Arabidopsis thaliana: one gene and its partner. The protein of the gene in region 1 interacts with the protein of each later gene in a pairwise test. Each region holds a gene or a part of one and is shown on either strand. Other genes may lie near its edges.

Region 1 (4,121 bases):
ATGGAAATCTATTAAATCCGATTTCTTTGAATATGAACTATGATAAAACTATTGCTTGATTAAGTGTAGCCTTTGGTCCAACTTTGCATATGAACTGTGATAAATAATATTTCAAAGTTGTTTCAATATAAATTTATCAAAGTTATTTCAAGTTGCATAATTCAAATGTGAGCAGTGTTTAGATTGGGGCACCAAATGATTAAAAAATAAAATAAACATTTCATTCATATATGTTTTTTATACAAATGACACCATTATACGTAATTCTAAATACGTTAATATATATATGAGTCAGGAGGTTGGTGTAATAGATGAGAAGAATGAGGTTCTTTGGTCAGAAGTGGAAAGCAGACTCAGCCTCTATTTTATACTCAAATCAATTCTTCATACCTTCCACCAAAACTTTACTCAATATTTAAAACTATACTATAGCCATCTTCTTAAATAAATCTAACCCAAAACATGTTTCACAAATTTCTCATTTTTGTGTGGTGTTTGATCTCTTTGAGTCTTTTTTTTTTTTTTAATCTCTTTAAGTCTTTATTACAGTATATCTTTATAATTTGCATTTAACACCATAAAATAGATATATTGTGGTAAATTGTTAGGGTTATCAACTTGTCATAAAGCACAAGTACTCTTTTTCACAACTATAAGTCTATAATTTAATCGAAAAGAAAACACAGATTTTTTTTAACATAACAGGTATTTAGTAGACAGAAACACAAAAATACAGAGTAAAAACAAGTTCTTACTTTTAAACCACACAATACATATATAATAAACTTGGTTTTGCTTATATTTCTCTAATTACAGTTTCAAAACTCAGATTCTTAAGAACGCTGAGTTTGGGGATTCTATGTTGCCTTAAGCTCCGGCACTGAAGACATTTTCTCCGGCGAAGTTAATGGCAGCTTCGAATGAAGTTGGTGATGGAGAAAACAGATTTTCTGAAGAGAGATTCTGACCCATAAATATTACTCCCTCCTCCGTATCATCCTTATCGATAAACCCTAAATCAGGGAGAATATCTCTATGATCGGAAAAGGAACGGTTGAGATTGGCATTGAGAAGATTGCCGGTTGTGATGTCATGGATACTTGGCCTGCGTTTGTCCTTGGCTCCGGAGAGCTGTCTCTGGTAATACTTTTGGGCGTGGCTCGCCACTTGCGTTGGCGTCTTTGACACCACGAAGTTTCTCGATATGTTTCTCCAATCTCCTTTACCGTACTTGAGAAGGCCTAACAAGAATCTCCTGCAAGGAACAAGAAACAGAGCATTGAAAACCCTAAGAAAAAAGGGGATGACTTGCGTTGCAAGGAACCTAGGAAGAGTGACTTATATGGAAAGAATTCTGTAGAGATGAAAGAGTGTCTTAACCTGTGTTCTTCCTCTGTCCAAGGGACTCCTTTCTTTCGATCTTGATCAGATCCTCTAGCTCCACTAGGCCGTTTACGACACATGTCCGTGTCAAACCCCAAGGGAGAAGAAGCTGCAGGATAACCAGGAATGGGAACACGTCCTGCTTCAATATCGAAAACGTCTTCTTCAAGCTTACTATATTGCTTCATAACATCAAAAACAGTCTTTCCAGGGATCATGGAAGCAACTTTAAACCAGCGATCAGGCGAGTCTTCAGCGTATATCGCAAGAGCTCGTTCGAACATCTTGTTCTCTTCTTTAGTCCAGCTACCGCTACTCGAGCTGTGTAAGCTCACCATCTCTTGAACAACGAACCGGTGGTCAGAGATAGGTAGGTGAGAGAATGGATGCAGAGTCTCCATACCTAAAAACAAAAAAAGGGAAGAATAAGTTTCAACTACAAACACAGCTCAAAAAAGTCCATTTTCTTGCTCTATGTGTGGAGGAAGCTTAAAAGATAGATTTGTGATATAAGGAAATAATGGAAGCTTTTATATATAAGGTTTAATGATAATATAGTAGGAATCAAAGAAGAAGAAAAACAAAAGGGAAGGAAAAATGAAGAATCGTATACTGAGGGAATCAAGAACCTGATTTGGGTAAGAGATTTGAAGCATATATAAAACCGACCCTCGAATCTGAAAAAAGACTCAAAGCTTTGAAGAATTTATGAGAATCTGCAAAAGTGAGTCGTCGAAGGAAGACAAAAACAGCAAAGCAAAGCCCACTTGAGAGATAGAGAGAGAGGAGAAGACTCAGAAGCTGAAGAAGACCCAGTAAAGAGAGAGAGATAGTGAAGGAAGAGTAATATACAGAGAGAGAAGAGTCACTGTAGATATGGGAACAGAGTGAAGAGAAAGAAAAGGAAAGGTTTCTTTATTTTTGGGAAGATTTGGCGTATTTGGATTGGAGAACAGCGAATGGCACCACTCCACTCGGATTCTTGCGGTTCATTTTTCTCAGAAAGAAAAAAAAAGTTGATTGATCTATTTGATTCTATTATTTAATTCTTTGGAATACGACAAATTTGTTCTATCGCCTTTTTTCTGGTCCACACGGAGACATACTGTATGGTTTTGTTATAAATATAATGTTTTGATAATTACAATCAAAAGCGCCTGTAGCTCAGTGGATAGAGCGTCTGTTTCCTAAGCAGAAGGTCGTAGGTTCGACCCCTACCTGGCGCGATTTATCTCTTTTTATATCTTAATTTTGTCTCCTTAAGGAGGTTGTTTAGGATTAAGTTCTTACCTGGAATTAAGTGATGATTGGTTTTAGTATCTATGCGTCGGTGGAAAATATTTTTAGAAAGTGTGACAGATTCAATAGCTAAAGCTCATTAAATCCCACTATCTCTCCATTTTACTTGTGATGCTCACATAAGTTTTAAATTACTTTCTGCAAACAGAGAAAATCAAATAAAAGTATATCGGTTGTATCAACTAATCAAACTGTACAAGGTTTTTTAACTTAAGTTAATTTTGAAGAAGAGAAGGCTACATAGAGTCATAGACGATAGGATACGAATGCTTTGAAGTTTATTTCTCATCTGCAATAGAGACAAGAGTAATTTCTTGCGACAAAAGTTAACCAGTAACTCTTATAATATTTCGACTGTCATAAAATCTTTCAAGGAACCTAATAATATAACATCTCACACTGTTCAAAAGATAAATCAAGAGTGTTTAGCATAATAAGACATAAGCAGAAGAAGTTTGGGAGAATATGACGATCTTAGGCAGCAATGGTAAGGCCACCAGATCGAAGTCTAAGCAGCCAAGACATTCTCAAACTTGAGTTCTTCAACAGCAAGAAAATCTCTCTGTACTCTTTCTTCACAAACAAATCCAACGCAAACAAGTAAAGATCACTACCTTGCTCAACCTCTTCCATGGAGTCCAAACACTCAATGCATTCCCCAATGGTATACTCGTACTGCCTAACCGATGCACTCACTGGACTCTCCTTCATCAGCTCAGTTTTTAACCTGTGGCATCCCGGAGTTACAATTTCAACATCTTGTAACCGAGACTCTGCAAAACCAACACTGTTAAATCTCCGGTGCTGCGGAGTAGGCTGCTCATCATCGTCATCATTGTCATCTTCATCAGCTCCACCTTCACTACCTGAGACTGGCTCGTTTGTGTAAAGTGTTGATAATGGAGTTGGGTCATGTAGCTGTGGTGATTCGGAATGATGATCAAGCACTCTCCTGCGATAAGAACGGAAATAGGCTTTTCCTGGTTCTATAAGTCCTTTGAAGATGGTTGCTAGTTTATCCGCGTGAGGAAGTTGTTTCCTTCTGAATGGTGCTGCTCTATGATTCTCCTGTTAATCAAAGAACCAATGTTAAGCTGCAAACTTAATCAACTAATATAAAAAGTCGAGTAGCGTTTATACCTTCAAGTAGTTTTTCCAGTCTTCATCAGTAGCACCAAATGTTCGAGAAGTTGCATCCCATTTCATGACAGGAGCACCAATCACTTGACACCAGATCTTCCACGATTTCCTGGTGCAATCCCAATGATTCTTGAGTTGCGGTCTGGTGAAGCTTTTACCGGTATTCTGATTGATAGTCTCAAGGATCATTTTCCAAGTTTCCTTTGGATAATGTGAGTCAGGTCTGTTTCCTTTTAAAGCCTCTTGGAACAACAAATCAACAAACAGCTCATGTGAAGACGGTGACCAGTATCCTTTCG
Region 2 (5,586 bases), on another chromosome or scaffold:
CTTTAAAGTTATACAGATGAATTATCTCTGACAATTTTACACTTTTGAGATTTTCTTTAGTGGAACAAACTTTAATTATATATAGCTTCTAATTTTATTTTATTTTCTAATTTCTAAACATATTACGAAAAATTAATATGAGAGAGTGGTTTCAGCAAAATTAGCTAGGACTTACTTACATGATGAGGACTATATATATGAGAAAAAAACTGTGAATTAAGGTTGGGATTAAAGTCTTAAAGAAACCAAAAGCAGGGATAATGTAGAAATTTGGAGATGCTAAGGCCACAAGTTAATAGTTGAGACTTGATAGATATGATAACTTATTTGTTTTGTTTTTTGTTTTTTTTGTAGTTAATAACATTGTAAATCAGTAAAACCAAAATCTAGTTCCTGCCAACAATTTTGAAATTAAAATGTATGGATCACCTTAATGAGCGAAAGAGTGCATCAAGTCCAACAACAAAGTCTTTCTCTTCTTCATAACATAATGTTCGGAGTTAAATTAACTTGAATGAAACAAATCTTTAATTAATTATATTGATTTGCATTATTAGGAAACTGTTCAGATTAGCCTACCAAAAAAAAGGAAACTGTATTACTGTTAGTGGAGCAAGTATAATGTGCAGTTTATTGGGCTCATAGCATTTTAGAGCCCAAATTTATTCGTTTCTTAAGCAAAATCTTAAATGCGTATAAAATTAGTCTTTTACAAATATAGCATGTGGCCCAATATAAACGTCAGGCCTGATAATATGTTTAAGTGTCCATGACTTTTAACATGTTTCATTTGATAAGCATTTTTTACCAGAAGCTTATGTTAATTCACTTATACGGGTTGGGGATAATGAAAATTGAATTTGGACTAATAGAGCATACATCAATCGAGGAAAATTGCAACGACAAAGAAACGACGGTACATCAATTTTACCTTAGTAAAATCTTGATAAGATTTGAAGTGTGAGTTAATAACAAATTTTAAAAAACCTAACTTATCTAGTGAAAAAAAATGAAAATTATAAAAGCTGATGGCATTTAGATAGTAAACAGAAATCAAAATTGTTAAGTGATAGTAGTCTTGTTGCAAATGATAAGTCCACTGAGAACATGACATCGAGGATCGAGTCTCGCTCCTTATAAATGTTGACAAAAAAAAACAGAAATCAAAACATCATTTTGGTGTATGAATATATTTCTTGATCTATTTAGTGTATCAATAATTTCTTAAATATCAAAAAAAAAAAAAAAAACTCTTCATCGATTTTTATATGCTTGCTTCTGTTATTGGTTCATAACTATGAGTCCAATTATTTTCATAGTCGCATATAATTGTAAAAGTATTGTACGAACGGATCAGTTTATCCCACAATTATTGAGATGCTAAGATTAATTTTTGTATTAACATAAAGAAAAAATATGAATCAAATTCATATATCTTGAGATTTTGACAACGAGGATGTCACACATTGACATTATTAGAAAACAAAAAAAAAAAAAAAAAATCTTGTCTACTTGATAAAACTTTTTGGAATAAAAAAAGTGAGGTAGAAGAAAGAAAGGCATCAAATGCTTTATTATTGGGATTCGCACTATTTACTAAATTCCACGATCTGCCAACCATCTCTTTTATTTATTTACCTATTTTCTTATTTTTTTCTACTAATTTTGGTAGTAAAAAAAAAAAAATGAATATGTTCTTAGTCATATCTCTCCCTTCAATTTAGGAAGAGAATCTTTTCTAAAATTCCCCATTCCTACTTACTTTTATAGTCAAAATCCATTTTTTTCCATTTCAACTAATTGTGTTGGAAAATAATTAATATTAGATTTCAATTAAGTTTATCATCAATATGGTGAAAAGTCATAAAGTAATGTATTAATAATTTTTTCATTATTTGTCTAAAAATCCTTCATTGGCTTATAGCTTACAAGGCTGCTCTGTCTAATATACAGAGGACAAGAGAAAAAAAAAAAAAGAAAAAAAAAATTGTGATTTGGTAAACAAAATCAAATTTTGGTTTCTTTGTGAGAACTTAACTTAGGGTTTATAAAGTTCCAAGCTTTATCCATGGCGTAAGATGATTCACCTTCTCAAAGTTTGATCCTTTTTTCATATCTGATCAAAGGAGAGTTTTGGGTTTGATTTCTAATTGTTAAAGTTTTAATCTTTTTATTTGGGTTTGTGTTCGATTATGTGGATGGCTACTCAATCAAATTCTGGGTTCGATTCTTTGAGTTCTATGATGAGTCGTCACGCTATTAATTTCCAATCTAACACTTCTTCGGAGATGACTCCAATGAGTCCGTACTTGGGGATGAATATGAATATGATCAATGTTGGTTCTCCTGGTTTTCTTCAAACCGGGAATTCTTCGAATGGTTCCGATTCGGGTTCTGGTCTAAAGCTTGATACTTCCATGGTTAGTGAATGGTCAAATGAAGAACAATACATATTGGATGCTGGTCTTGAAAAGTGAGTCTTTCTTGTTTTGTGATTTCTTAACATTAATGAGGATATGAAGATAGTTTTTTGTTCTGTGGAATTTGATATGATCTGATTCTGTGTTTTTTGTAGATATAAGGATATGCCAAGTATTGATATGTATATTCAAATTGGAAACACTTTACCTGATAAAAGTATTCGAGATATTGCTTTGCGGTGTAGGTGGCTGAGGGTAAGTATCTCTCTTCACATATCTGCCTTGTTCTGACGGTTTTTGTAGCTTTCTTGTGACCATTTTTCAGTCATGTAGTTCTACGCTTATGCCATGAATGATATATGTATAGCAAAGAAAAATGATACACAGGGAACAGTTTCTACATGTTCTGATTTCATACATAGCTTCTTAAACTACAGTACACAGAATGAAATGGTTTTGCCTTAGGATGGACTTTTTGGTCTTATTGATGCCTGAGTTGTATCAATATTGAGTTCTTGAGATGAGAATAGTGAGCATAACAGTCTTTGAGTTTTGAACAAAATCTTCTCTTCTCTTATATACTGAATCATTTCTTACTTTTACCTTTTGTCTTCGTCTGTTGATGTACTGACTTTGTTTTGCATAGAGAAAGAGAAGAAAATCAGAAGAATTAAACTGTGGAAGAAGAGCAAGTTCTAGCAAGGTATATTGGAAATTCTTGCCATTTGTTCAATTTTGATGAGTGACTTTTTTGTAAGTTCGATTGAAAGATGATGCTAGGATTGAGATTGAATATCTTTTGATTAATTTAGGTTTTTGTACTAAAAGATTTATATTTCTTCAGGGCAAGCAGGTGGAATCGTCGTCTAAGTCAAGCATTCCCTCTGTTTTGCCTCATAACATGGCTTCATATCCTTTCTCAGGGCCATCTACAAGCACCAGTAAACAAATTACGTCTGAAGGTTAACATCTATCTTTATCTGAGAGATTTCCACCTGAATTTGCTAACTCCAGGTCTTTTTTTTCATTGACATGCACACATTAACATCATATTTTGTTTTCAAAAGGAGGCAATACGTTTTGATGTATGTATTATGGTGCAAATGTCGTTTAAGTATGTATTTTGTTATATAAATAAGTTCATAGGGGATTAGTGTATTTCAGCTAGACTTTTAGCTTCTTGGGACGATGCTAACATAACTACGTCTCTAAAGTAGTTTAGTCTTGGAAGAAGCCTTTACCCATAGATACTGAAATTGGTTTCTTAACTGCATTGTCCTTCTCTAGAGGTGCATTCTTGAGATTATTTATTTCATACATCTAGTAAAGGAGTATAATGACTATTGTATGTTTAAATGGTGAAATTCTATTTAAGTCCGCTCTCTGATCCTATTACCTTGTAAAGATGATCCTTTAAGCTCTCTTTCATATGAAGTTTTGTTGAAGTCACAATAATCTTTAGTCTCTTTTCTTTTCTTACTGATTCTTTCGTGGTTCTGTTTCAGATTTAAGTAGCTATGCAACAAATCTTATAGAACAGAATGTACGAGCTTTTAGTCAAATTAGAGCTAATCTCTCCTCATATAAGGTAAGTTCTAGATTACCTTGTTTAAAGGAATGCAAATGTGTTCTTGCTAAAACCGCTCCGTAATGATAATTGCAAACAGGCAGGGGATAACCTAGATCTCTTTCGTCAGGCAAGGAACAACCTTATCACCATCCAAAATGAGTAAGTTGATACTTTAAACATTTTGTGTATAAGTTTTGTGGAGCTTAGTGACCAGACGTTGTCTTGATTTGGCAGGATAAATAATATGCCTGGATTGATGAACAAGATGCCACCATTGCCAGTCACAATCAATGATGATCTCTCGGTGAGTAATACTACTTTAGTAAGTTAATAGGCTGCTCACTTTTGCATTAACAGTCCATTGTTTTAGATATCAAAATGTCCACATCACCCATTTGCTTGTTTTACCTCAGACACTACCGTAGTTCAAACCCCATATCTCTGGTTCAAGTGCTCAAAATATAGAATTATTGTGCTTCTAACTAGCTGAGTATCTTAAGACCAGTTTTTCAATGTTTTGGTTTGTAGAAATGTCTATCAAGAGCAAATAGAGCAGAAGAATAATAGCTTCCCAATATCAATGACTTTGGTTTCCTCGATTTGTACCAGGTGATGATGCCATTCAATACGATGCAAAGTGGCGGCTTCCATAGGAAGTAGAAGTCTTAGGAAATCATCTGGTTTCCCTTAGTTACCTGTAAATTATCCTAAAGAAGCTGGAGGAGGTAAAAAAAAGCTCATCAAATGTTGGGAAGTTTGTAGAAATGTGATTCTTTCGTAACACCAACGATCTTTATTGCTGCGCGGGATGTTGAAACAAGACATAATATAACGAATGTAGGGGTTCTTGGTCCTGGCTCCTAACTAAAAAACCTTCTTAACAAGTTCTATTAGATAAACTTAGTTCAATTAGTGTCTTGGAGAATTTCTAAGCGATCGATGTGTATAAAAAAAGATTCTATTGAAGAGCGTGTTGAGATTTGCATCTTTAATCTTTTGATCTTTTGGTGTGTTGTTTTGGTACCCATTTTTTCTTAGCATTAATCAATCTTTATTTTTCATAAGCCAACATTGAACGAAATAAAACAATCCGAAACCTTCGATGTTGTATATACGAAACATAAATGTTAGAAACGAGAACAAGAAGAAAGGCAAAGAATCCATAATGACAAATAATGGGACCAAAGAACAAGCATAGAGATATAGGAAACTCTACATCATCCAATTTAATCGGTTTTGAGAAGATGAAACGTGATCTCCTCTAGATGGACCATCAAAGTTCAAGCTTCTTATGGTTCGATTGTTGTAGCTGCTATTTTGTGGGTATGTAATCAAAGAAGAGTCTATGGCTTGAGGAGTTTGGTAATAGGAAGGATGAGAGAGGTTGTCACTGGAATCGAGTAACAAGAATGGAGAAGTAGAGGCAGTGGAAGCCATGGCTGTTGCTCCGACCGGAAGTGGATGGTTATGTGTTCCTTCGTAGGTTGTTATCAGTATTGACATGTCTTCTAAACACCTTTGCACCTTCACAATGTAACAAATCTCATTATCAACTATATATATATACATAGTTTCATTCCATTCAAATGTGGTTAT

Evidence for each region.
Region 2: the proteins of AT3G11280 (region 1) and AT1G68160 interact in a two-hybrid assay, tested with the Arabidopsis thaliana proteins (one study listed by BioGRID).

Annotation. Positions count from the first base shown.
Region 1 is NC_003074.8:3,532,610-3,536,730, forward strand, and holds AT3G11280 (Duplicated homeodomain-like superfamily protein), read right to left. Parts: upstream 2,386-4,121; 5' UTR 2,013-2,385; exon of another isoform or gene 1,787-2,012; 5' UTR 1,785-1,786; coding exon 1,381-1,784; intron 1,256-1,380; coding exon 868-1,255; 3' UTR 602-867; downstream 1-601. Other genes in the region: AT3G11290 (Myb/SANT-like DNA-binding domain protein), read right to left, coding at 3,157-3,750, 3,823-4,121.
Region 2 is NC_003070.9:25,545,232-25,550,817, reverse strand, and holds AT1G68160 (ZZ-type zinc finger protein, putative (DUF3755)), read left to right. Parts: upstream 1-1,923; 5' UTR 1,924-2,192; coding exon 2,193-2,473; intron 2,474-2,575; coding exon 2,576-2,675; intron 2,676-3,066; coding exon 3,067-3,123; intron 3,124-3,264; coding exon 3,265-3,382; intron 3,383-3,925; coding exon 3,926-4,008; intron 4,009-4,087; coding exon 4,088-4,149; intron 4,150-4,224; coding exon 4,225-4,294; intron 4,295-4,599; coding exon 4,600-4,650; 3' UTR 4,651-5,060; downstream 5,061-5,586. Other genes in the region: WRKY9 (WRKY DNA-binding protein 9), read right to left, coding at 5,203-5,514.